3 linked regions of the Styela clava genome follow. The protein of the gene in region 1 interacts with the protein of each later gene in a biochemical or structural test. Links are inferred from orthologs where the notes say so. Each region holds a gene or a part of one and is shown on either strand. Other genes may lie near its edges. The genes, in order: protein arginine N-methyltransferase 5-like, serine/threonine-protein kinase RIO1-like and methylosome subunit pICln-like.

What was found.
Region 2: the proteins of protein arginine N-methyltransferase 5-like (region 1) and serine/threonine-protein kinase RIO1-like are reported together in a solved structure, tested with the Homo sapiens proteins (2 studies listed by BioGRID, with this or other methods). The link is inferred for Styela clava from reciprocal best matches to the Homo sapiens genes PRMT5 and RIOK1.
Region 3: the proteins of protein arginine N-methyltransferase 5-like (region 1) and methylosome subunit pICln-like form a complex in vitro, tested with the Homo sapiens proteins (5 studies listed by BioGRID and IntAct, with this or other methods). The link is inferred for Styela clava from reciprocal best matches to the Homo sapiens genes PRMT5 and CLNS1A.

The regions. Positions count from the first base shown.
Region 1 is NC_135260.1:10,097,117-10,105,601, reverse strand, and holds protein arginine N-methyltransferase 5-like, read left to right. Parts: upstream 1-5,049; 5' UTR 5,050-5,125; coding exon 5,126-7,168; 3' UTR 7,169-7,534; downstream 7,535-8,485. Other genes in the region: protein HID1-like, read left to right, coding at 110-173; uncharacterized protein LOC120347196, read right to left, coding at 8,400-8,485. UniProt on the Homo sapiens protein: Arginine methyltransferase that can both catalyze the formation of omega-N monomethylarginine (MMA) and symmetrical dimethylarginine (sDMA), with a preference for the formation of MMA.
Region 2 is NC_135264.1:11,770,697-11,779,219, forward strand, and holds the start of serine/threonine-protein kinase RIO1-like, read left to right. Parts: upstream 1-5,451; 5' UTR 5,452-5,645; coding exon 5,646-5,709; intron 5,710-6,884; coding exon 6,885-7,036; intron 7,037-7,621; coding exon 7,622-7,746; intron 7,747-8,281; coding exon 8,282-8,417; intron 8,418-8,523. Other genes in the region: aprataxin-like, read right to left, coding at 2,051-2,307, 2,735-2,889, 3,352-3,680; uncharacterized protein LOC120333828, read left to right, coding at 785-1,047, 1,279-1,388; small ribosomal subunit protein uS12-like, read right to left, coding at 4,247-4,798. UniProt on the Homo sapiens protein: Involved in the final steps of cytoplasmic maturation of the 40S ribosomal subunit. Involved in processing of 18S-E pre-rRNA to the mature 18S rRNA. Required for the recycling of NOB1 and PNO1 from the late 40S precursor.
Region 3 is NC_135259.1:18,959,461-18,967,361, reverse strand, and holds methylosome subunit pICln-like, read left to right. Parts: upstream 1-4,466; coding exon 4,467-4,667; intron 4,668-5,519; coding exon 5,520-6,119; 3' UTR 6,120-7,182; downstream 7,183-7,901. Other genes in the region: uncharacterized protein LOC120337104, read right to left, coding at 724-830; dol-P-Man:Man(5)GlcNAc(2)-PP-Dol alpha-1,3-mannosyltransferase-like, read left to right, coding at 1,741-3,027. UniProt on the Homo sapiens protein: Involved in both the assembly of spliceosomal snRNPs and the methylation of Sm proteins.

The sequences.
Region 1 (8,485 bases):
CCTGTTTGCGCTAACCCCCTCAATCCCTCCACTGGAAATATTCCCTGATAATTAGTAATACTCCTTTTTATTAAATTTTTTTTATCCTCTTATAAATTTTTTTGTTCAGGAATGTGGATCCACCCGTCTGGTATGACACAGATGTCAAACTTTTTGAAATCCAAAGAATATAGGAAAGTTACAGATGGCAATCATCTACATCTAGGTGCTACCTAATTCCATATTTATCAGTTCCACAGTTCTTCATGAATATCTAATGTTAGTTACACCACTGATTTTCAATATCAAAAGAGATTAAATATTCCTTTTAAATGAGTGTATTCAAAAAGGTGCTTTTGATGCTTTCAGTTGATAAAATAAACTGTAATATCGGAATTGGATCTAAAAAGGCGGCAAAATTTCAATATATGTCAAATAGGATTTGACCAAGGAGATTAAAATTCGACTTTTTTTGGTTCTATTTATTAGTAATTCAATGAATTTGGAACATTTTGATGCCCTCAATATTTAAACTTTTTTTTTCATTTACTTTGAACTCTGTTTATTCATGATACTCATAATCATGTCGTAAATCTGTACAGAAGTATGTTTATGAAAATTGAACATGATGTGGTTGAGCGAAAATCAAAATATTACACATACATTTTTACCCACCACAGTCTACCATTCTTAGAGTTGGAGAGCTCTAATCAACCAAAATTTTGGTTTCAAATGGTTATTCAATGAAATTATTGGAATAGATGGATTTTTTTTTTCGAATCAATTTTTTAGTGATGCTTAATGGTTCGAGTTTGATTAATAAAATTATCATGCTTTCAGAGAGTAAATTCTGAACTGAATAAACTATTTTTCGTACTTTAGTGACAAGTTTTTTTCTATGTATACTGTTATGTAATTGTAATAATTCCATGTAGTTTTAGGCTATTTTTATACTGTCAGGACCAGTGAAGCATATATACCTTGTAAAAGGAAGTGCCAGTTCAAGACATTTATGCTGTCAACACTTTAGGTGAAATATGTCTGATTTTAAACAGATTTCCAACTTTTTTCGTTCGGAGAAATATTGCAAAACATGATTAAGGTGAAAACAAAATCGTTCCTCGTCTTACTATGTGAATATGTCTATCCAAACCTTTCTTTCATACCTTTAATTTCTTCAATATGTTATTCTAGTTTATTTTATTGTTTTAGATTACAAGGTACTAATAATTTTTTTTTTATTTTCCATTTGGTTTTATTGTTTTCTTCACCATGTTCTTAATTTGCTATATTGGGATAATATTAATGAAATAAAGTTTGTTTCTGCAATAAATTTCCTTAGATTTGCTATAATGTATCACAAATGGACAGTTATTGCATGTAATATTATGGATATAGAATACACTTTTTTGGGGATTTATCGGACAAACGTTTATTGCACTTTGTAAGGCTGAAAATCTAATTGTGATTATAGTTTAAGTTTGTCTGGTTTTTTTTATTTAATCAAGATTACTTTATCCTATCATCTATATTTATGTAGGATTGACAATTTATTTTATATCATCGAAGCACTTTCGTTGTACAAACTCTGTCAAATTTTTGATTTATGTCTTACAATTAATGTACTGTACATGTATATAGTATACACAGAAAGTCAACTTTATTATTTTGCACAAGTTTTTCTTTGATGTCTTAATTCATCAACTGTGTCTGCCCAACTTTCAAAGATTTAGGTTTTGCCAATTCCAATGCAACTGTGTATGTTCTAAATTCAAGATGAAATTCATAATTTTCGTTTGAAGCAATGCATATTACATCGCAAGGTCTCATCTCTACTGCTTCTGTCTTTTCTGAGCTGCATATATAGACGGGGTAGCGCAATATAGTTTGCTTATTTATTTTTTTCTTGCAGTGCAATGCTTATATTTCTTTCAATCTAAAACTGCATTCCGGAGAAGTGTTTCCACTTCGCACAGGTCAGCTTATCTATATTCGATGAACAAACTTCTCTCGACTGATCTAAAACAGACCTTATTATCACTCATTGTCAAGTATCGTCTGGTTTCAAGTTTATACCCAGTAGTGCTAATTATGAGAATTTGTGTGGATTGTTGGCATTTTACTGGCTTGGTAGTTAGCCCTAGAATCATTGTTACATTAGTTGCATTGTGCATATTATTCATCATATGTAGTTATTAGGTCTGGTTCATTTTTATGTGACCAGTAAATGTAATTTAGTTATTGTAATTTATCTGTGGAACTTTGGTAGTTTGAAACAAGTAATAAAACTTGAGAGTCTATACATTAATTTGTATTTTATCAACTTAATTGAGCTTTACTTATTAAAGTTTAAGGTATCAGTATCTTTGATACGGCAGTATTATTTTGACACAGTCTGTAAACTACACAGTCTGGTTTTTGAGAAATTTGCGTTAGTTTTCATAGTTCACAGAAACTTAAATGAAAAAATATGGGAGTAAAATGCCTCGTGCTTAATGTGTGCGGATTCAAATCTTGAGTGGGGGAGGATTGCTGAGACCCCTGTTGTCGTGGAGTGTTTCATGTGGCCTATGTTTGGGACGTCAGTTACGGATTGCCTACAACCGCAGTGGTTCTCAAACTTCTTTGTGTTGTGACGCCTTCCGAAAAATATGCTCGAGTTGCGGCTCCCCGTGAAAACGTCTTAATACAATTAAAGACCTTTTTGTAATGAGCTTTATTTAAACAAGCAAACAAAATTTACCGAAAGTCGGTGAAATTGCATTTAATGTGATGGGTGTTCTTGCTTCCTTTCACAATTGTCATTGAGTCTTGGGGTGAATACGCATTTTCCTTTCAACGTTTTCTCGAGAACGATATTTTGCCTTTATTACAGCCATGGTAGCAAAGCCTGCTTCACATGAATATGAAGTCGCGGGGGATGAGAGTGCGCAATGCCTTTTTTTTATCCGCAAGGAAGGATAATCTTTATCCGGGGAAATCCAAAAACTCATAACATTTTCGTGATTAAAATTTCTTTTTATATCGATTCCGTTCACAAAATGGCGAACAAAAGCCGTAATATGTTGTTGTAGCAAGATTTCAGCCAGTGAAACCGGTTACCTAATAAGCCTGAACGGCATGTAGTAAGTACATCGCATCCCCAGTTGCAACAAAAACCACAGCGCTTTTTTACTCGAAACTTGAACGATCCAAAGTCCAAGTAGCTTTCATCATACTTCTTGTTCGGTATCATTTTTACGCTCGTACATTTCTACAGCGATATTTAGACGTTTTCAAACTTTTTTACGCACCGCAAAACAGGTACGATTCCGCAAAAGAAAAAAGTTTTGGGACGCCCTAGCAAAATTGAAACGACGCACTATGAGAACCACGGCCCGACGGGATCGCTGAATAAAATCAACTGCAATTTCCTCAAAAATGAGAATATAAACGCATGAAGAACTAACATTTACACATACCGTAGTCGTAGACTATTACGTGGAATAGTTTATTTCGATTCCATGATCAGCACAATAGACAATAAAATTGTTGATAAAAACTAAGTAAATAAAACTGATTACAGAATCAGGAGAGCAAAAAAAACTTAAGTAAGGTTTAAAATAGGATCCTTCAGGATGTAAATCCTAAGGTTTAAAATAAAAATTGAAACATAAAAGATATTACCTAATAAAAAGAATAATATACAAACAAATTAAAAAAAAATAATTTGCCACACCATGTTAATAATTTTGTAAGAATTGGAAAATAATAAGGAAAATAAGACATTATGTGTTAAGATTTAGCTATTCCATTCAAACTTGAATTTACTTATATTACGGTGGTAATCACCACATAAAGGCATATACGTAAATTTCATATATGCAGGTGTACTTAAATCGAATTACGTTCGGACTCTAGATTTCCACTCCATACACCACCGCACTAGTAGCATGTGGATTGTGCACTTTGCTGGTGCATGCGGGGATATTTTCTTTGATAGCAGGTGGGGTGGAGTTTATGTTTGTATTTACTTCATGTTGATTTGCTAACTGGAAGCATGTAATAGTCTCGATCTGTGTGAGGGTTTAATCTTGGCAACTTGCTTGTAAATTATTGTTCAAAACCTTTTGACTATGGTACTGTAGTATAATTCCAAACATCCATAAGGATTAGTTCCCGCCCTGCTCGATCCGCATTCTTTTCTTTTTTTTTATTAGACAAACAATGTAATACGCATTTATGGATGCTATGGTAGTATGATTCCACGTTAGTTTATAATTAATGAACTCCTGACTTCAAATTTCTACTGATATATTAAATATGAGAATTAGAAACAAGTTAGCTACCGTAGCCTACATGTGTGTCTGTGTGTGGAAAGTGTGCGAATTATTTTGGCATAAATGTCATCGTAGCCTTCCTTCAGACTTCATTTTAAACAGAATACAGGAATAAGAAAACATTATAACAATTTATCTTATGACACACACATAGTCTATTCTGCTATTGTTCTTGCTGCCTTTTCTGGTCTTTCGATTCAATCAGTATTTAAATATCTGAAATTTCACATGATTCGACTTTACTTTTATACCATCCAGTCATCATTAGGGCACAGTTCTTCGATTCCAAGATGTCCCAACATTTGGTTCAATATAACAAGCACTCCCTTTTGGCTCTAAAACAGTTACATCACGCCAAGATTCTCTCGGTAATAATTTAAATCAATCATGACTTGGACGTCTGGTGACCAAAATTATGTTTTTCAGCTAAAAACTCAAATGCTTCGGTAAAATTTTTTTCAATCAGCGAATTAGATTATTTTTTCAAAGTGTATAATTGTTGCGGATAATTGTTTATATGTCAGTATCATGCCTCAAATTGAAACGGTACAAAAAAATATTTTAATAATTTTGATCGTATCTACTCTGGAGTCCTCCTTAACCTTATGTAAATCATCCTTTTATGCCGTTGAAAACTGAACAAAACATACTGGTAGTCATGTTTCATCATTTTTAATCCTGTGTGACCATATATGTGTTTGGTAGTCGTTGGCATTAAAGAAAAAACAAGTTTTTAGAGATTTGGTAAAAGTGTGCTTTACTATTTAAATTTTAGGACCAAAATCAATAATATAACTACTTAAAATTATAGCTTACTATAACCTAAGATGGCCTCAAGAAACCGTGTATCTTGCGGACTAGATATTGAATTTACTGAAGATCTTGAAGAATCTATTGAGAATTCTAGTAGAAATGGCTATGACTTTATATGTGCGAATGTTGTCAGACAAGGCTGCACACCATTTGAAACAGCGAATCTATGTAATAAACTTGGTGGTGTTACAGACACATCATTTTTATTCAATTCACAAGAATGGGCTTCCCTTGTCGTTGGCAAACTTTCTTATTTTCCTGATTTGACATCTGTTGTAACAGAGAAGCGTATTTGTGCGGAAGAAGCTGTGAAACAAGAGCTTCATTTTGTTGCTTTTTTGAGCTTACCTGCGATTATTGTTGAAATCAAGAGCAAAAATTGTTCAAATATTGCCAGAATGATAAACACCTTTTTATATGAAGGTCATCATAATGTCCACATATGGGTTAAAGTCCCTTTACACTCCAGAAATTGTGAGGAGGATACATGGCACTGGTGGAATAAATTTCGAACCTTATGCAGCCATCACAGTAGAATCGGATTAGCATTGGAATTAACTGCAGACTTACCGAGTCAGTTGGAAAGATGGCAAGGTGAACCTATTCGTGTGGTTTATATTCCAACTTCTGTTTTTCTGATGAATCAAAAAGGATTTCCTGTTTTGTCCCGTGCTCATCAGCAATTTGTTAAAAATCTCATGAAGTTGAATTGTCAAATTGTATTGTCTGGTCCTAACTTGAATAATGCAGAAGGAATCCTAGTGTATCATCAATACTTGGATCATTTATTCCAAGGTGCTCAAAATCTAGGAGAATATGAAAAATTTTCAAAAGGTTATGAAGATCATTTGCAAGCACCACTCCAGCCTCTCATGGATAATTTGGAATCGTCAACCTATGAAATCTTTGAAAGAGATCCTATCAAATATAAAAAGTATGAGGAAGCAGTTTATCGTTGCTTGCTTGACCAAATTCCTGATTCCGCAAAAGAACAGCAAACAGCTGTTATCATGGTGCTTGGTGCGGGTCGCGGCCCTCTCGTTAGAATGTCACTCAGAGGTGCTAAAAGAGCTCAAAGAAAAGTTCGTCTTTATGCAGTAGAAAAAAACAGAAATGCTGCTGTACTTTTGCAACATCTGTGCACGACAGAGTGGAAAGACTATGATGTCACTGTAGTTTCATCTGATATGAGGTTTTGGAAGGCTCCTGAGCTAGCTGATATTGTTGTTTCAGAGTTGCTAGGATCATTGGGTGACAATGAATTGTCACCGGAGTGCTTAGACGGGGCAAATCGCTTCCTAAAACCAGATGCAGTCAGTATCCCGCAGTCATACACATCTTACATATCTCCTATCTCATCTCATAAACTTTACAATGAGATAAAAGGTGTGATGGGTCTGGATAAAAATAAGACACCCGAAGCTGCTTTTGAAACTTTGTATGTGGTTCGTATTCATAATTATCATGAACTTACTGAACCAGTTCCGTTGTTCACATTCAATCATCCAAACTGGGATTTGGATAGTCAAAATCCTAAACCAGAGTTCCATGCCGACGTTTCCGCAGAAGTTTGGGACAAGAAGTTCAGCAAAAAAGATGTAAAGGATAAAGAGGACATGGAAACGAATGGGAAAACTGAAGTTAATCAGATTCAAGATAGTCAACACAATCACATTGATCCAACTAAAGCTAACAATCAAATCAAATCAACTCCGACAATGCCAACAAATAGTCACAACACAAGATATCAACAATTTTCTTGCACAATTCCTTTTGACACTATGCTGCATGGATTTGGTGGTTATTTCAGATGCGCATTGTACAAAGATGTTGAAATCAGTATCGAACCGAAAACACATTCACCGGGAATGTTCAGTTGGTTTCCAATTTTCGTTCCCTTGATGAATCCAATCCCTCTTACCGAAGGTTGTACATTACAGACTGATTTTTGGCGTTGTTCCAATGGAAAAAAGGTTTGGTATGAATGGTGTGTCACTTCTCCACAAGCAAGTCAAATACACAACCCAAATGGTAGATCTTATACCATCGGGCTATGATGTAAAATTTTCTAAAAATTCATTTCTTGAAAATGACTGTGATGCTGAAGCATGCTTATTATTATCCAATGACTGAATGATTAATTCTAAACATGTAAAAGTTATGTTTTCATGCCTGTTTAAAATGGGTCTCTCTATACTATTATTATTTTGGATTATATAATTACATGGTCTCCATATAAACATTCAATCATTGCTGTTTTAATTTATGTTCCCAAATCCATAATTTATGTTCCCAAATCCAATCACTTGCCATATACAAGGATGCATGGACCATCGATATTTTATGAAATGCATTATGATTAAAGTGGAAAGCATGTTCCTCATTTATGTTCACTTGTTTGATATTAGAAAATTCATTTCTAACATATGGTTAAATTTGTCTCAAGTGTGTGGGGAAACTGTACAAAGAGTATCTTCCTACCATGTTAATCCATCTTTAGGTGTTGTGAGTTTTAAGATAAATATTTGAAGGCAGTGTCAAATTTAATGACATTAGATTCTCAGCTTCATTGAATTTTTACACTCAAAATTTTTAGGATGTTGCTCAGCAAGGACATGACATAAGATTTCGTGACCTAATGGAGATGGGCAGTACAGTACAGGACCTAAGCACTTTAGACTTTGGTGTCCTAATTGTAAAAAATAATGATAAACTTGTGTTTCATATTATCTGAAATTGAATGATTTTCAGTACAAAGGATGTTTTCACAGAATCAATTTCTTTGTTTATTTCCTTAACAATGACAAATCAGCAACGAGTTAACAATGACGAAACTATTGTAATTTATTCAATCGCTCAGACAGATATGCAGGCATTGTTGTAAACATTTTTTCGTTCCCGTTGTTTTGCGAGATTCTAAGAAAGGTTGTGGTAGAAAAAAGCAGAGATGATTATAAAACCCGCCTGCGTTTACTGCGTGCGTCCCCAGAATGGCTGCAAAACATTAACAAATGGAAAAAATTTGCCAATACATAATTCTTGGCGACATCAGTAACTGAACAAAAACTGACAAATGTTTGCTATTATTTTATTAGGAAATATTCACAAAATGGTAGTTTGGAAATGTCTGTTTTATCGATTGGATGAAATGTTAGTTCAAACACTAGCGAAATATTGCAATAGAATATATATAGTTAAAACATAAATCAATATAAGCATCTCAATATTGCACTGCTATATAGTATATAAACACGGTTTCACTTTACCGCCAAATCTTTTTTATTGATGTTACAAACCGAGGTTAAGGTCGTTCATGTTCACAACGTTTTCTGATATGTATTTAGAAATATCGTTGACATCAAAATCTCCCGCTT
Region 2 (8,523 bases), on another chromosome or scaffold:
GAAGAGTTTTGAATTACTGTGTGCTTTTAATAAATTTTTGTTCATGCTGTGAGTTGTTACCTTATGTGCTTACCAGTAGTTAGTAGAGAAAAAATAAAAAAAAGAATTTTATACCAATTTTCATTCAAAATTTAAAGGTGCGCGTTATACACGAGTGCGCGTTATAATTGAATAAATACGGTACTCCTGAAAGTTTGCGCTTCCTAGTTGACACGTAAAATAGCAAATTGGAGCAAATAGTAGTTAATTTAGCCTATATATAAGTGGACTGGACTTCGTTCAGAGAAAAGGGGGCAGGCAAATAACCGTCATATAGACAATATTTGAATCAGAAAAATAAAGCATAGTGTCATTATGCTTTGTAAATGAAGAGAAAAGACTAAAATGTTACTATTGGCGGAAAAACGGACATTCTAGATCGAGGTGGGCACGATTTTTAGATCAGGGAACAAAAATTTTGCCCACCGAGACTGGCGGGCCATGTAAGTATGACGTAAAGAGTTACATTTTATGAACAATGTTCACAGTGTTACAAAAGCAACAGTGGAAAACAATGAACCACGTGCCAAAATTTATCCGCAATCTTAACAAATCCCTTGACCTATTTTTAACTAAATCATCAAAATTTGGTTCCAGTTAAGTTGTGGCAGCATCAGGCGGGCCAGATTGAATTACCCAGTTGGCCGGATTTGACCCGCGAGTCGTAATCTGCACATGTCTGTTCTAGATACTAAAATTTTCATGTGAATATAGCCATTATGCATCTCATTTATTATTTATACAGAAAAAGAGGAAGCAGGCTTGAATCAGAAATCACAAAAGAGACGGAAGATGTTGAAATGCAAGAAATGTCTCCTCTGAACCAAGAGAACAAAAGCACAGAAGATTGCGAAGATGGTTTTCCAAATACAAACAGAAGTCCCAATGAAGATGAAAACATTTTGGAAAATATTGCTAATGAAAAGAATACATCGAATGCTTCCAGTGAATGTGGATCAGTTTTTGACTCAGACAATATTGATCAAATTGGAATAGAATTAGAAATAGGTGAGTATATACAATAAAAATGTTAATAAAAGATACAAAAATTAAACATATAAATACTAGTCTGTCTGTATTTGAACATATTATACTTGAGTCGCGAGATTTTACTAAATCTATTTTTTTGAAAATTTGGGTCGCTTGAAAAAAAAGGTTGGAAACTTATATATCAACATTTATTTATTCTTTTATTCTTCTGTATTGCAATGTATAATTGACAAACCATTCGAATTTCAGGGTCCTTGCAGAACGAAAGAATGGGCAGCTCACAATATAAAAACGTCAGTGACACGGCATCAATGGGTAATGATACAAGTTACCATGACGATATGGATACAGCATTGTGATTAATTAAATATTAGAAAATGTATGAAACAGTAGTGAAAACCTGAAAATGACATCATAGACACAAAATCAAGTCATGATGTATTGAATATTTAGGATTAAACTTGGTTTAGAGACAATGTTTTAATTATAAGTCGAATTATATATATAAGTTTCAATATGAGCTATGATGAGAGAGTGTCTGTAAAATTCCACCACTCAAAAACACACCCATAAATTCCTCTCAAAACTCCTCATTCAACTGGGTTAATATGTTAAATTTTGTCAGAGTTCAAATAATTCATGGTTGAAAATTTCTGCAAGGAAATTTCCTAACAACGATGAGAAGATGATTCAGAGGGGGTTTCAGCAGAAAGATGATTCACTTTTATCTCGAGAGCGAGTGTGTTAGACTTCACTTTGAGCAAATTCTTTTGAAAATTGGTATACAGACAAAGTTTTCTTGCTTATATAAGTTGTAATATATTTCTCATCAATTTTTCATAGATTAGCTGTGTTTTCTGCGTTTATGCTAATTTTCAGTTTTGTGGAGCAGCCTCCAGTACCCTGTGTATTTTGTACACAGTGTGACAGAGTATTGAATAGAAATCTGCAATGGATTTTTACCATATGCAAATTATGAATTCAGACTTTAGTTCGCAATATAATATTAGCATCAACATACCTTTGGATATTTATCTTTGATGACAACAACTTTATCATCTTTGGAAACTCTCAAACTAGGATCATCCATTGATCCTTTCAAACCTTGACTCCAATGATAGGAAGGTTTTTGTGCTGAATTATTTTTATTATTTGAATTTGTTTCGTTTTCTTCATCGGAAATATTTTTCGCTACTTTTTCAGTCATTTTTTGTCGTTTGCTGAATGTGTTTTCCTCCTGAGGTAGTTTTGTTTTCTTGGTATTGGAAGATGTAGTTCCTGAATAAATATTATAGAACATAAGAGTTTCGATGTGGTTTCTTTGAAATTATTGGAGAAATAAATTTACATTGGGATATGAGTACAGGTCACTGTTTTTGGGACAAGAATTGTTTTTCGTCATTATCACGGTAAACTCTGGATAAATCAATATCAAAAACCTACATTAATCGAATATTATGATTTCCTAAACAGCGTTAGTTATTTAAAATTCTACTACTATTTGCGTAAACACTTTTTTTGCGCTCATCAAGGTACTGTCTTTTACCCAACATTTTTCTAAATTTAAAAAAATTCCATCCTCACCCCATATTTTCAGCAATCTAGTTTATTGAACAACGTATGCTACTGGTAAAACCTTCATGTCCTTATAATAGTGCATTTCTCTCTAATAATAATAAATTCACTATATGATAGAAAATGAAACCTGAATTAGGGATACATATAGCAATCTTGTGAGGATATTTCATATCAACGACGTGTAACGTTTGTCCTGCATGAAGTCTGTCAGTTTTTCTATGTCCGATATCAATCCCTTCTATCTGAGATGCATTACTGCCAAGTTGCTTGACCATAACATATCTAATGTTCAAAAATAACAAATTTAGTGATGCCAATAAAATCACTCTAGAAAAGTGGTTTTCAAGACAACATTTTAAATAATTAAACATATTTTAAAAACGTCTTATAAAGTCTCAATAAACATTGATCATATACTTGACACATTTTCAACAGAAATATTTTTACAAACCAATTTGACAGGGCAAGAAAACACAATAGCGGACAATCTATATTTGAAACAAGTTAGAATCAAATGTTTCCGTCTAAATGACCATTTTTCAAATAAGCATATATTCCAAATATAAATCTATAGGTACCTCAAAAATACCTGTATGGCCTGATACAGATTTCATAAACATTGGCAAATAAAAAAGTCTCTTTATACACAAAAGAAAGTATATTCAAATAACGTCAATAATAATTTCACAAAACATAAATATATCAGTATCTATAACAGCAAAAATATAACACATTCCTACCTACTTTTGATTGTAATTTGCAACCAATTCCAACTGATTTCTTGAACACAATTTATCAGGTATTTTAGTCTCTGCTGATCTCCCAACGATGACTGGCGAACCGTCTGGTAGAAGTATCGGAGCATGTGTTGAATTGCAACATTGAAAATACATTGAGAAAGATAGAGATAAAGCAATGTGGTAATTCCTATTAAAAAAAATAAGAAGTTCCAACTTGAAATGCATTTGCAAATAGTAAATCTCAAAACAACAAATTTCATATCTTTGTATTTTAGATTTTGACATTGTAAAGAGCATTTTGAACCATATAGAATAGATAGAACAAAACAGCATCAATCACAACTTAGGTAAGGAAGTTATTCGGTAAAATTCAATTGAAAAAGTGATGAATTTTTGCACGGCTCTATATGAAAAGATTTTGTGTGAAATGGCAGGAATTATGTTTTATATTATTAAATCTTTATATTGAAAAATTTAGACAAAGTTTGTTCAACTCACAAAAAAACTTTGTGAGTTGAATAAAACATTGGCGGCATTAGAAGTTTATTAACATATACTTTAAGACTAGTAAAGCCTTGTGAAAATGGAACATCACATACGTTGAACGACAAAATCCTTAAGAGTTAAATAGGCTAGCTGTTCTTTTACGAGAGATTTTTTTAAGTAAAACATTTCTTTACTACAGTATGAAAGATTCATAAATATGTCAGAATTTAAACCATTACAAACATTTTGAGGCCATTGTTAAGTATTATTTATTGTCACAAAATATAAATTCCAAGCTATCTAACGCTCTCATATAATCCTACGGTAATTTTTATTTTCATATTTTGTGAGGAGCTCAATTGTTTCAAATTGTCTGTCATACTTTAGTATTTGCGAGTATTTTATAGCAAAAATTAGTCTTGTTCTTTCTTAACAACATGAGCACAATCAAGTGCTCCTCTAATAACTTTATGGTGAACTCCGACTAAATCCTTACGTCCTTTTCCTTCGATGAGAACAACGTTATTTTCTTGTAAATTATGTCCTTCGCCGGGTATATAAGCAATGATTTCTTTTCCGGTACTTAACCGTACTTTGCAACATTTTCTATTCGCACTGTTTGGTTTTTTCGGCTTTTTAATTAAAAGTCTTAAAACAACGCCTTTTATTTGTGGCTTTCCATCCATTCTTGATTTTTTCTTTTTCTTGGCTATTATGTCCAACATTTTTCCTGTTTTCATGTATAAATCAGCATGATAAAAGTTTCGATATCTGCCTTCCCATTTGAAATCAATTGCAGATGAGTGGAAGTCCTTAGAAGGCTGAGTTAAGAAGGTGGTTAATACAGCTTGGCTTTGATTCACCAGTAAACCATTGTATGTGTTTGTTAGGCAAGTATTATTCACTTGATGAAGACATCCAGTGAGCAATGTATTTTTCAATCTGATCAAGTTTTTGAACGCCATAAGTTGGCAAGTTCAGAAGTTAGATTTTCATGTAAATTAAGACTTGAAAACTATTTGAAATAAATATAATCATTTGTTTCCAGATGCAGTGAGAAAGCATGATGAACACTGACTAGCTACGGTATAGATTTTGCGTAAATAGTAATTGATCCCAATTTCTTTTTTTTTTAATTTGCAGCTGCGCGAAACTCCCAGAAACACTTTTGAACAAGAGACTTTTTCACCTTTGTGGTGCAACATACTGTTATAAGCCTACTCCAAATGTACAAAATTTTTACATATCTATGTTTGGTGTTGTACAGATGTATGAATGTGATGTAGGTAACCGAAGTCTGTAAGCTGGTACGTACCCAAGGCCAAGTGAGTGTCGGGTCTACAAAAATAAATCTCTCTCTTTCTCGATTTGTCAAAAAATACTTTATTACACAATAAACTTAAACATCATGCTATCAATATCAACAAAACATATTCACACCATCCTCCAAGACCAAACCAAAAATTAGCTGCACGAGACAAACAAATGATGAAAAGATTTCACTTCGTACTGCGCGCTTGTCATCAGTGACCAAAAATCGTGATTTGTAATTCACGATTCTTTACTGTCATCTTGCGTATGAGTAAAAGTCTGGTGTTTCAGAGAATTAAATATTGCACAACATGTGCAAAAGAAAACACGCGACTGAAAAACGCTGGTGCAGCAGGCTATTTCAATATTTGTATATAGGCTATTATATTGTATTCTGATCGTTTTCATTCTACACATCTGATATTCAGTTAGGCAGCGTCAAATTGTTTTAGAAAAGAATCCTTGTTGTTGTTGGCCAACCCTTTAGTACAGTATTACGGTATGGAGGGGCAGTTTGATGATTTGGACCAGGCGGAGGAATATTTGCAAATGATGACAAAAACTAGTAAGTTCATTCATCTTTTTTGCATTCAGTCATAATAATAAATAAGTATCATAATCTAAGTCGCTGGTATCACGTAAAGCTAGTAAAGTGAATTTTTCTATATTTTTCATTGTAACTTTTATTAGGATAGGATAGGATTTACATATTTATCCCGGGGGAGAGGAAAGCCGATAAGACGGCTTATCCACATGGCGAACCACGGCCTCTCGTCCGGTTAGCATTCCAAGTCGGGTATGGGATTAGTTTTAATGTATTTTATTTTATTTTTTTCGGAAGCATGGACTTGGTGGTGGAGGAAGCCGTAACCGACCAGCGGTTACGTGAACCACCCAACGACGGCGAGGAGTCCAGCAATCCTCTCGCACATAACCATCCCTGCATGGGATTCGAACCTGCGAACCCACGCAGAGTAATTAGAGGTGCGGTGGCGAGCGTATTCCTAACGCTTAGCCCGTTGAGCCACACCGCTGCGCCAATTATTATTTCAGTATTTCTATTTTTACTCATCATCATCTTTCTGTTATTACGGTACTCTATTATTGTTTTTTTTTCCTTCGCTGTTTCATTCACATTCTTCAATGACTGTTTTGTAATCTACCCCAAATTCAGAAATTTTAACATTTCAATCAGCAAGTTGATTCACATACAAGAGTACAATGTGTTATAATCAAATTAAAATGAGCAATAGCTAGAATAGTCTTATCAATTTTTGTCATAATACTAGTAATAATACTGCACTTTGAAAAACATTGTTTTACATTATGTTTTTGTCCATGCATCTGAAACAAATATGACTGGCTAACTAATACCATACCTACCTGACATGGACCTGTAGCTGGCTGAGCGGCCGTGGTTTGCCATATGATTAATCCAGGATGATTATGTAAATCCTATCCTCTCTTTGACATACTATTTCAATTTGAGCCGACTCTACATCATTCTTGTGTAGATCAGTTGAGTAATGTATAGAACTTTCTCATAAACAACATTTTGTCGTTTGTCTATCAGCAGTCAAGATATGTCATTTTGGAGATTGTTGGATTTTTGTGTATTTTCAATGTGTGTCTTTTAACCGCGTTTGAAAATTACCATATCGGTGTGTCACCATGTATGAAGCCCATTATTTTATTGCGTCTCTTATACAATTAACTATTTATGTAATGCTTTATTTTAAGATCCTATTCAAGAAGGATGTATCGATTCAAATACAAACATAGCAGATGATGATGACAATTGGAGTGATGATAACTATATGGAAATGGATGAAATATATACAGAAAATTGCAGAGGAAACGGCGCCAAGTATTCCTCCAACCAATCTTATCAAGTAGGATGTGATCATTTATTATTTTGCCACAAGCACATGTATAGCTTCAGGAAGAGATCATTTGAATGGCGATTCACTGAATGTCTGAGGGACAGGCTTATTAATTTCAGTTATTTCTCTAACTATATTGGTTTAAATCTGACGATGTCCAAGTCGAATTGAATATTCCAATTAATTTGAAATAAATGATATTTAAAATTTTATTTTTAGAGAATAATAATTTTATTTTGGGAATATTATAGGCCTAGTTAGTTTTATCTGAAAACCCATCATTTTGAGCAATTGAAATATTATAGTATGACCAAAAAGACATTGAATTTTTTGAATTCTACAACAAAAAACGTAGAACCACTAAAATCACTGTTTATCTTAACCCTTCTGTATTTTCAAATTTAAACTCATTTGAATATCCATTAACTTCGAAAGTAGAGGACCCAATTAACGTCAATATTCCAAATTCGAAAATATTATATCAGAATGTATTCAGGATAGTGAATTTTCGAATTTTGGCCATCCCTCTTTAGAACCAATAGTTGAAATAAAATAGAGTGCTCAGCAAAGTATAAACTTCTTGTTGTTTTTTAGCCTGTGGATAAAATGTTATCAAAATTTTCTGACAAGATTCATCTTGATGCATATGAGCATCCTAGTATTCCGCAACATAATCTCGCACAAGTTCGACAAATGGATAAAAGAATGGTTGAAAACAAGTAAATTTATTCAAAAACTTTCTCTCATTCTCATATCTTATTCCTTTTAAATCAAAGAACTGGGAGGTGCCTGGAAGATTTAAATTTAATGTTCTTTCAAAATGATCAATTTTCAGGAATTCCATTAATTAATATTATTAACTAATATTATTAATTAATATTAATTCACTAATTTTTCAGTGAAATAGTGAGTTTTGTTGAAAACTATTGAATACCATGGTGATGCTGTAACATAACTTTGCTTTCATGAATCATGACCCCCTTTCAAAGACTACAATGTGGCCCTTTTTTCTATAAAAATACCTTTATTTAATGTGCTTCTATCATTTGTTTTATGCGCCATGGTAGGTAATAAAAAAAATTGTTTTTGGGAAGTAAGGCGTCATGTGGTACTTGGTTTGATTCTTAATAACAGTGTATGTGATTTTTTTCTTTTAGCAAATATTGGATAATCAATATCAAAATGTTATGTTGAATCACCAATTTTCACCAATACCAATTTTCAAGTTTATTTACTGCAACCAATAATTTTCAGAAATCGAGTAAAAGACAAATCGGATCGAGCAACTATTGAACAAGTCATGGATCCAAGAACTCGAATCATACTTTTCAAAATGCTGAGTCGTGGCGTCATTAAACAGATCAATGGTGTAATAAGCACTGGGAAAGAGGTGATGAATTTATGTACATTTAATTATGGAATTTTTCTTTTGACGTTCAACATAATGCAAGATTTTAGCTCTCGTAGTTTCATAATATATTTCCTGAATTTTTATA
Region 3 (7,901 bases), on another chromosome or scaffold:
TGAATTCAATTAATAATTTGCGTAAAGGGAAAGGTCCATTTCTTAAATATAGCATATGGTAATAATTAATATTTATTCCAGGACACAAAAAATTCACGCTATGAGTTTTTGATTTCTTTTAACATCTCAATGTTTGCACGTCTATCCAAATTTTTAGTCACTCTGTCAATGCCTGATAGACCTTGCTTCGCCTTTGAGCAAATTTTATTTTTACAAAAACAGCACAGGACACACGTAGTAAGACAATTCGAAGTGGTCTAAATTCCAAACAATGCGAAATGTTAAACTCCCCACCAATAGAACAGTATTTTTCATGTGACTATTCACCGCGCAAAAAAGTTAGTTAGGATAGGATAGGATAGGATTTACATATTTATCCCGGGGGAGAGGAAAGCCGATAAGACGGCTTATCCATATGGCGAACCACGGCCTCTCGTCCGGTTACCATTCCAAGTCGGGTATGGGATTATTTATATATTGTTTGTTTCCGGAAGCATGGACTTGGTGGTGGAGGAAGCCGTAACCGACCAGCGGTTACGTGAACCACCCAACGACGGCGAGGAGTCCAGCAATCCTCTCGCACATAACCATCCCTGCATGGGATTCGAACCTGCGAACCCACGCAGAGTAATTAGAGGTGCGGTGGCGAGCGTATTCCTAACGCTTAGCCCGTTGAGCCACACCGCCGCGCCGTTAAGATTGTTAAGTAGTTAAGATTGCAACCTGTCTCTTGTTGGTGACTTTGAACTTTGCCTCCCGGTAGACGATGACTTCGGTACATATTTACTTGTTGATGAGGACGACCATGATGTGTAAGGACGTCGATCCATCTCGTAAAGTTCGGTAGGGATAAATCCTCACAGGGCGAACAGAAGATTCCTCGATGTTGCGAAGACAGATGCAATTTGCAAAAAACAAAATGATGTGAATAATTCGTTGCCATCTTTTACGCTTGAATTTTATGATGATTCAGATTTCCATTAAAAAATATTTTCAAATATGATGAGGCTTCAATATATGTAAAAAAAATAATGCACACTTTCACCAAAAATCACTAAGAATATGTGCCTATTTTAAAGTTTTCGAAATTAATTAATTGAAAAAATTAGTAATAGCTGATAAAATGTGGCAACATTTTAGACCAATTATTTTGCAGCTTACTAGCGACATCTGGAGGATGTATTTTATATTAAATAAACTGGTGGTGAATGGAGTCTATTTTACCACAACTGTGTTTTTAAATATGATTTTAATCCTTTTCTAATAAAACGTAAAGATATAATGGAAGTCTACAATTAGGAAAAAAATTGTCATCAAATAAATAAGCAGATATTTAAACTCACAATCGAGAGTTTATGAGACGGGGAGAGAGAGAGAGGGATAGTTTAGAGTCAGATTAATTGAACTCGACACCGGATAGGTTTATTTTAATTACTGCAGTATTTTTTTCTCGATTTCTGATATGCCTGTAAGCCTCACAAAAGTTTTAAATTATTGTTACATTATATCCTATGTAAGTTTAACCAATTTCAAAACTGAAGAAGTTTTTTAGAAATTTACAAGGAAATATTTGAAAATAGTAACTCCGTCCACATTTTTCAAAAGAGAGTGCGCAACATGTGGATTTCGCACGCACTTCGTTTCGTGGACGTTCTGCAATCTCAAAAATCGAGATCTTAGTTCTGGGTTTGTTGTTTTTCAACTTTTTGACAAATTGTAGCGCAGTTTTGCACTTGAAACATGCCTGCATTGCAAAAGAGAAAGCAGAAAAAGCTCTCCTTGTTTTCTAAATTGAAAACGAACATTGAATACTTGTGGGACTTTGCATTTAAACTTCTGACGGATCCGGCGTACACATGGAAATTATGCTGTCTTCTCATTATTGGAGAAATCATTTTAAATATACTGGTTGTACACTTTGTGAAATACACAGAAATTGACTGGGTTGCGTATATGCAGGAGGTCGAGGGCTTCATCAACGGAACACGGGATTATACGGAACTAAAAGGAGACACCGGGCCGCTTGTTTACCCCGCTGCTTTTGTTTACATATACTCTGCTCTTTATTACCTAACATCACAAGGAACAAACATAAAAGTAGCACAGTATATTTTCTGTTTGTTTTATGTTATTAATTTAGCTCTTGTGGTTAGGATTTACGAAAAAACTAGGCAATGTCCTCCCTATGTTTTTATTTTTATGTGTATGACTTCTTACAGAATTCATTCAATTTTTGTGTTGAGGCTTTTCAATGACCCAGTGGCTATGATGATATTTTATGCCTCAGTGAATTTATTTCTGTCAAAACAATGGAGTATAGGTTGCATATTTTACAGTCTCGCCGTCGGGGTAAAAATGAACATTTTTCTTTTTGCACCTGCATTGTTGGTGATCCTATTAATCGAAAATGGAATTTTAAAAACAATTGGACATTTATTTGTATGTTTACTCACCCAAATAGTTATAGCGATTCCATTTTTACTTGAAAATTCAGTCGGCTACGTTAAAAAATCTTTCGAGTTCAGTCGTCAGTTTTTCTATATTTGGACTGTAAATTGGAGGCTCGTACCGGAGGAAATATTTCTAAACAAGCAATTCCAGTTATGCCTGCTCTTGTTACATTTATCAATTCTTGTGCTGTTTGCAATATTTAAATGGAGAAACGGAATCAAGCAATTGTTTTCCTTAATTAATCCTTTCACGAACTGGGAAGCTAATTTGCCAAAAATATCTCCAACAAAAATGGTTCAGATTTTATTTGTGAGCAATTTCATCGGTATGTGCTTTAGTCGATCATTACATTACCAGTTCTATGTTTGGTATTATCATACTTTACCCTTTTTATTATGGAATATAAAAATTCACTCGACAGCTAGATTGCTAATATTTGGTCTAATTGAACTTAGTTGGAATACTTATCCTTCCACAGTGTTTAGTTCTTCTCTCCTTCATGTAATGCATTTATTGATGCTTATAGGTTTGTTCCTAAGTCCTGATGAGATTAATTCAAAGTCTAAAAAAACATAGAGCAATGGTTCTCAAACGTTTCAGCCCCGTTCCCCTTTCTAGAATTTGTCAAGTCTCGCACCCCAACACAAAAAATATCACGGAAGCTAGCAATAAGCTACAAATAACAGATAGTAAAGCAAAAGTATGTAAAGTAAAGTATTTATTCAAAAAAACATGTTCAAAATAAGACTGGCACTATCACATCTATTTTTGATTAGCTTTTATGCCCTCTCATAAAATTGTCTATACCCCTTGTGGGGCGCGCTCCACCTTCTGGGAATCACTGTCATAGAGATAGTTCCTAAACTGAAGTTCTAATAGCACCCTTATATATTGCTTTTTGGCTTGTAAATGCACATTGAAATCTCATTGTACTACAGGCGATTAGTGTCTGTACATACAGTGTTTTCCTGGAAATAAGAAGACAGGGGCGTATTTCAATTTTCCTCCAAAATTAACACTTGGGCTTATTTTTGGTGGTTTTGGTATTTTTCATTTATCAATAAGGGGAGGGCTTATAATAAAATTTCAAAATGTAAATTTTTTAAAATCAGGCTAGGTCTTATTTTCGATAAAACACAGTGATTACACTAAGACTATAGGATCACCTCAAGAGTGGATCAAACTCTAAAAAGCAATTAGCCAAGTAAATATATCAAACACATTTTCCTGGTTGATAGACCAGATATCCTTTTCCACTGGTGTGGATTTCATGTTGTCTCCGCATTATCCAGGATACAAAAAAAATCCTGTTGACACTAAAGACTCCCATTCAAATTAATATCTTTTAAGAGTCCTTGTTCAGGAATTTTAGGTCTATTTCCTTGTTATAATATGTGATTTATTATCGTCACTCAAGTACAAATTGTTTGAAATTTTTAGGGGATGTAACTTGAGCTAGTTTCATTTAGTATTAATGAAATATTTTCCTTCTACTTGTGTGTGTGTAATGCAATCATTTGAACCTTGCTATAATTTATTTTTTTAATGCAGTTGTATCTAATGCCTAATAGTCATTTTTAATGAGTTGGAAAATTTTTTGTACTTTTTCTATAATTATATGTTGGATTGCATGGAGAAATATTCTATAAAAATGCCATTGCATGTTGCATGGACTGTTTGACATTTATACTATCCTTTAATAAAGCTGATGTTATGCTTTGCTGGTGTACCCTGTGCTAATTGCTTGTATTCTACTAAATGCATTTGTGATCTTGGTCAAGTCCATGCATCTGGAAGAAAATCTAGTTAATTATTTTCATACCCGGCCTGAAATGATAACTAGATGAGCGAGTTTGCTTTGCCATATGATTAAGCCCTTTTTCACTTTCCACCCGCCCCCAGTATAAAATGTTATAAAAACCTCTCCTAGTAGCAAAAAACTTTGATGAGAATCGTGGTATAATGTATTTTGAATAAAATCTATTATTTGAATCATAGTTTATGCCAGATACAAAATGTTGCCTCGAGTTGTCACGCCTGATACAGGAATTCAACATACGGAACAAAATTGCAGAATCAACATAAACTCTGATGACAGAGGAAGTGGAACGTTGTATATTTCAGAAGAAAGATTGATCTGGGAGAATCAGGAGCATCGTGGACTGTCACTCGGTTATAAAGATATCGCAATACATGCCGTCTCTAAAGATTTACAGGTATTCAGTTGTACGCTTGGTATTCAATGAACTGTGGTTGCCATGGTTACCCCGCCTGCCTGTCTAGAGTTGTTTTCTTCCATTAACAAGAGTGACACTGGGGTAATGGGTCACCTAAATGTATCTTCAGAGTCTGAATTCCTTATAGGTGACGGTGCTTGATAACCATCACTGGTTATTGTGCTCCCTGCATACTGAAATTCATTTTTTTATCTGTCATAGTTATAATGTACAATGTGTACTTTCGACATGTGATAAAATAAACTACTGACTGACTGTATAATAGCTGTCATATCTTTAGAATATTTTATACCTTGGCTGTGAGAAAGTCCACAGACAACTAGTTGATCAGATATAAGGTTTGGCACGGTTTATGACAACCAAGACTGCGGCGTCTGAGAAATCCACAATTGCCAGTGACTAGTCGATTCTAGATTAAATGCGACTCTGGGTTAATAAAAATTTAGACCTTAGGCTTCAGCTACGAACTCTGTGAAACAGGACTACTAATCAATACAATTTGCGGAATTCGTCTTTCAGGTGTAATGTAATCATGTTATAATTTGGCTTTGTACATTTCTGCCATCATACTACTGGGTGTTAAAAAAGTAACGCAAAATAAACAGAAGTTTGGATGAAATGCTACTTGGTACGTTTAACGACTGATATCTTTCAAAAGTATTGAATTATGGTGAAATGCCATTTAAACATTTCACGTCTGATGCTTTTTAACAGTTACTTTTTTAACGCTGCCATGCCGAAAAATCTTTTTTAACACCCTGTATTTTCCATACCTTGAAGGTTATGGTTTTAGATATAATTTATTCAGTGTATAATCTTGTGATTTTCCAGGCATTTCCTGAAGAATGTCTTTACGTAATGTTCAATGGTGAGATTTGTGAACCGGTTGTCAATGGCAACGGACAGACAGAAGAGTACGATTGTGCAGATAACGAGTTTGCTGCTGACACAAGTGGTACAATATCAGAGATCAGATTTATACCAGTATGTAAAGACAATTTAAAACGAATGTTCGATGCAATGAGCGACTGCCAATGTCTCCATCCGGACAGTGAGGATAGCGATGACTATTATGGAGGAGATGGTGACAGTGAGGAGCAAAACTATGAAGGGGCTATGTACCCCCCTACTGTTTACAATGGCGGTGCGGGGGAAGGATTTTATACTTCTGAAGAAGGCTTACAACATTTAACGCCTGCAGGGCAAGCAACATTAGCAAGACTAGAGAATATGTTAGCAGATTCACAAATTTCTGAACCTGAGGGGATTTCCCAAATGGAAGGGGTTCAGATTGAGGAGGAGGGCCCCATGAACACTGATGAGCCTCCTGTGGTAGGAAGGCCCCCTGTTGTCGATGACAACCCGCAGCAAGGTGCCCCTATTCTTCCTTCAGTGGAAGGACAATTTGATGATGCCGAAGACACTCATTGATCTGCTCAATGCCAGGTTTCTGATGTCTGTCGTGGTTGCGGAGCAGGAAAAGTTTACAATCAACGCTGCGGGTTGAAAAAATAACAATTTTCTCTAAGATTGTAAATAATTTTGACTCCAGTTTCTAACTTGGAGAAAAATTAATATTAATTGGTATTATGCAAGTCTCCTCCAATAGATACTCAATAGACCTAATACTCTTGGATTTTAATGGAAAAATTTGACTTATCATCGTCATTGAGTGGGTAAAATTACAGGGAAAACATCCCAAGCTCTGACCTCCTACTCTGCAGCTTAGGTTATTACCACCAAGACTGAGTTGAGAACAATTGCATATCTTATTTGTTACTTGGTTCAATTAAGACAGGGGTTTTATTAATTAAACCTTTGTTCTCTCATTTACTTTTTTCACAAATTTCGAAGTTAAAATTTACCTCTTCACGACTCCACTCTTTATGGATGTTCATGGAGTCCCTTTACAATTTTAATTTTGGTATGAAGTCAGTTCTTAACCAGGTTTGTTGTTTTTTTTTATCAGTCAATTTTCAAGTATTTTTACTTCATTTAATAATACATGGGCCGGAACAATATGTGGTATTGATAAATTCCCTTCCAACTTCGAAAGTCTTTAAAACTTGATGGACACCCCATACTTCTACACATATCTATAAGGACTCAATTTTAAAGTAAATAGTGCACATAGGCTTTTTGAATTGAATGTGTTCACATTACTATATTTCAATCGTATATCAATTTAACCCTCCTGTATTAATAAAGGTTGCAAACACCTAGTTTAACACTCTGATTCAAATATATCAATCAAAATCTAAAATATCAAACAACTCAGCAATCTTTGTGATTGAAACAACACCTGATGTTTTTAATTGCTTAATCGTGATCCGCATGTTTATCACGTCTCCCTTCACACTGAAATGCATTTTTGTTCTTAATTATGTTTGTACAATGTGTACTTTCGGCATGTAATAAAATGAACAAGACTGATATATTCCTTTCCCATCTCATTTACCTTTATTATATTCTTTTCTAAGCAATAAACTTTTTCCACTGCATGTCGTGTCACTCACAGTGGTGGTTAGAGATAACCGTCCCCGAACAAACTTAAAAAAAGTTCAGCTTAGTTGTTTCCGCATTATTACTTATCGATAAGTATGTTGATAGATATTTGTCTGTCTGTCTGTTAGATGCATGCGATATCTCACAAAAGCAAAGTTGAATCTGCTCCAAATTTTGCATGTGCATTCATCATATCTCAGACCAGAAGCCTATTGATTTTGGACGAATTATGTCGTATAATTAGCGAGTTTTAATAATTAATTAGTGATGAGACACGAGGTGTCACTATGGAGTAAGAGCGCTGTTTCGGGGGATCCCCTAACTATCCATGGATACTGTCTTACGTCTCTGACCGATATTCTCGTTTCAAGACTTAGGAATACACTTGTGATCTCACTCCCTTTGGATGAATTTCGTATTCATGCTTGCTGCTGTGAATAAATATAAATCACATTGACAATAAAACTGAAGGTTTGATTAATCCATATTACGGTATTTTGCCATTACGGTTCGAGCAGTTGTTATCCAGGTTCCATTTCAGGCATTGGTCCTCAAATTGCGGGGGGGGGGGGATAATTTGATGGGGCGTGAAGCTTATGAAAAATTATGTTCAATTCACATATTTTTATAACAAAACTATTGCTATCTGTTATTGGTTGCTTATTGTTAGCTAGTTATCTTCGAGGTGGGCCGTGAAACTTGATAGTC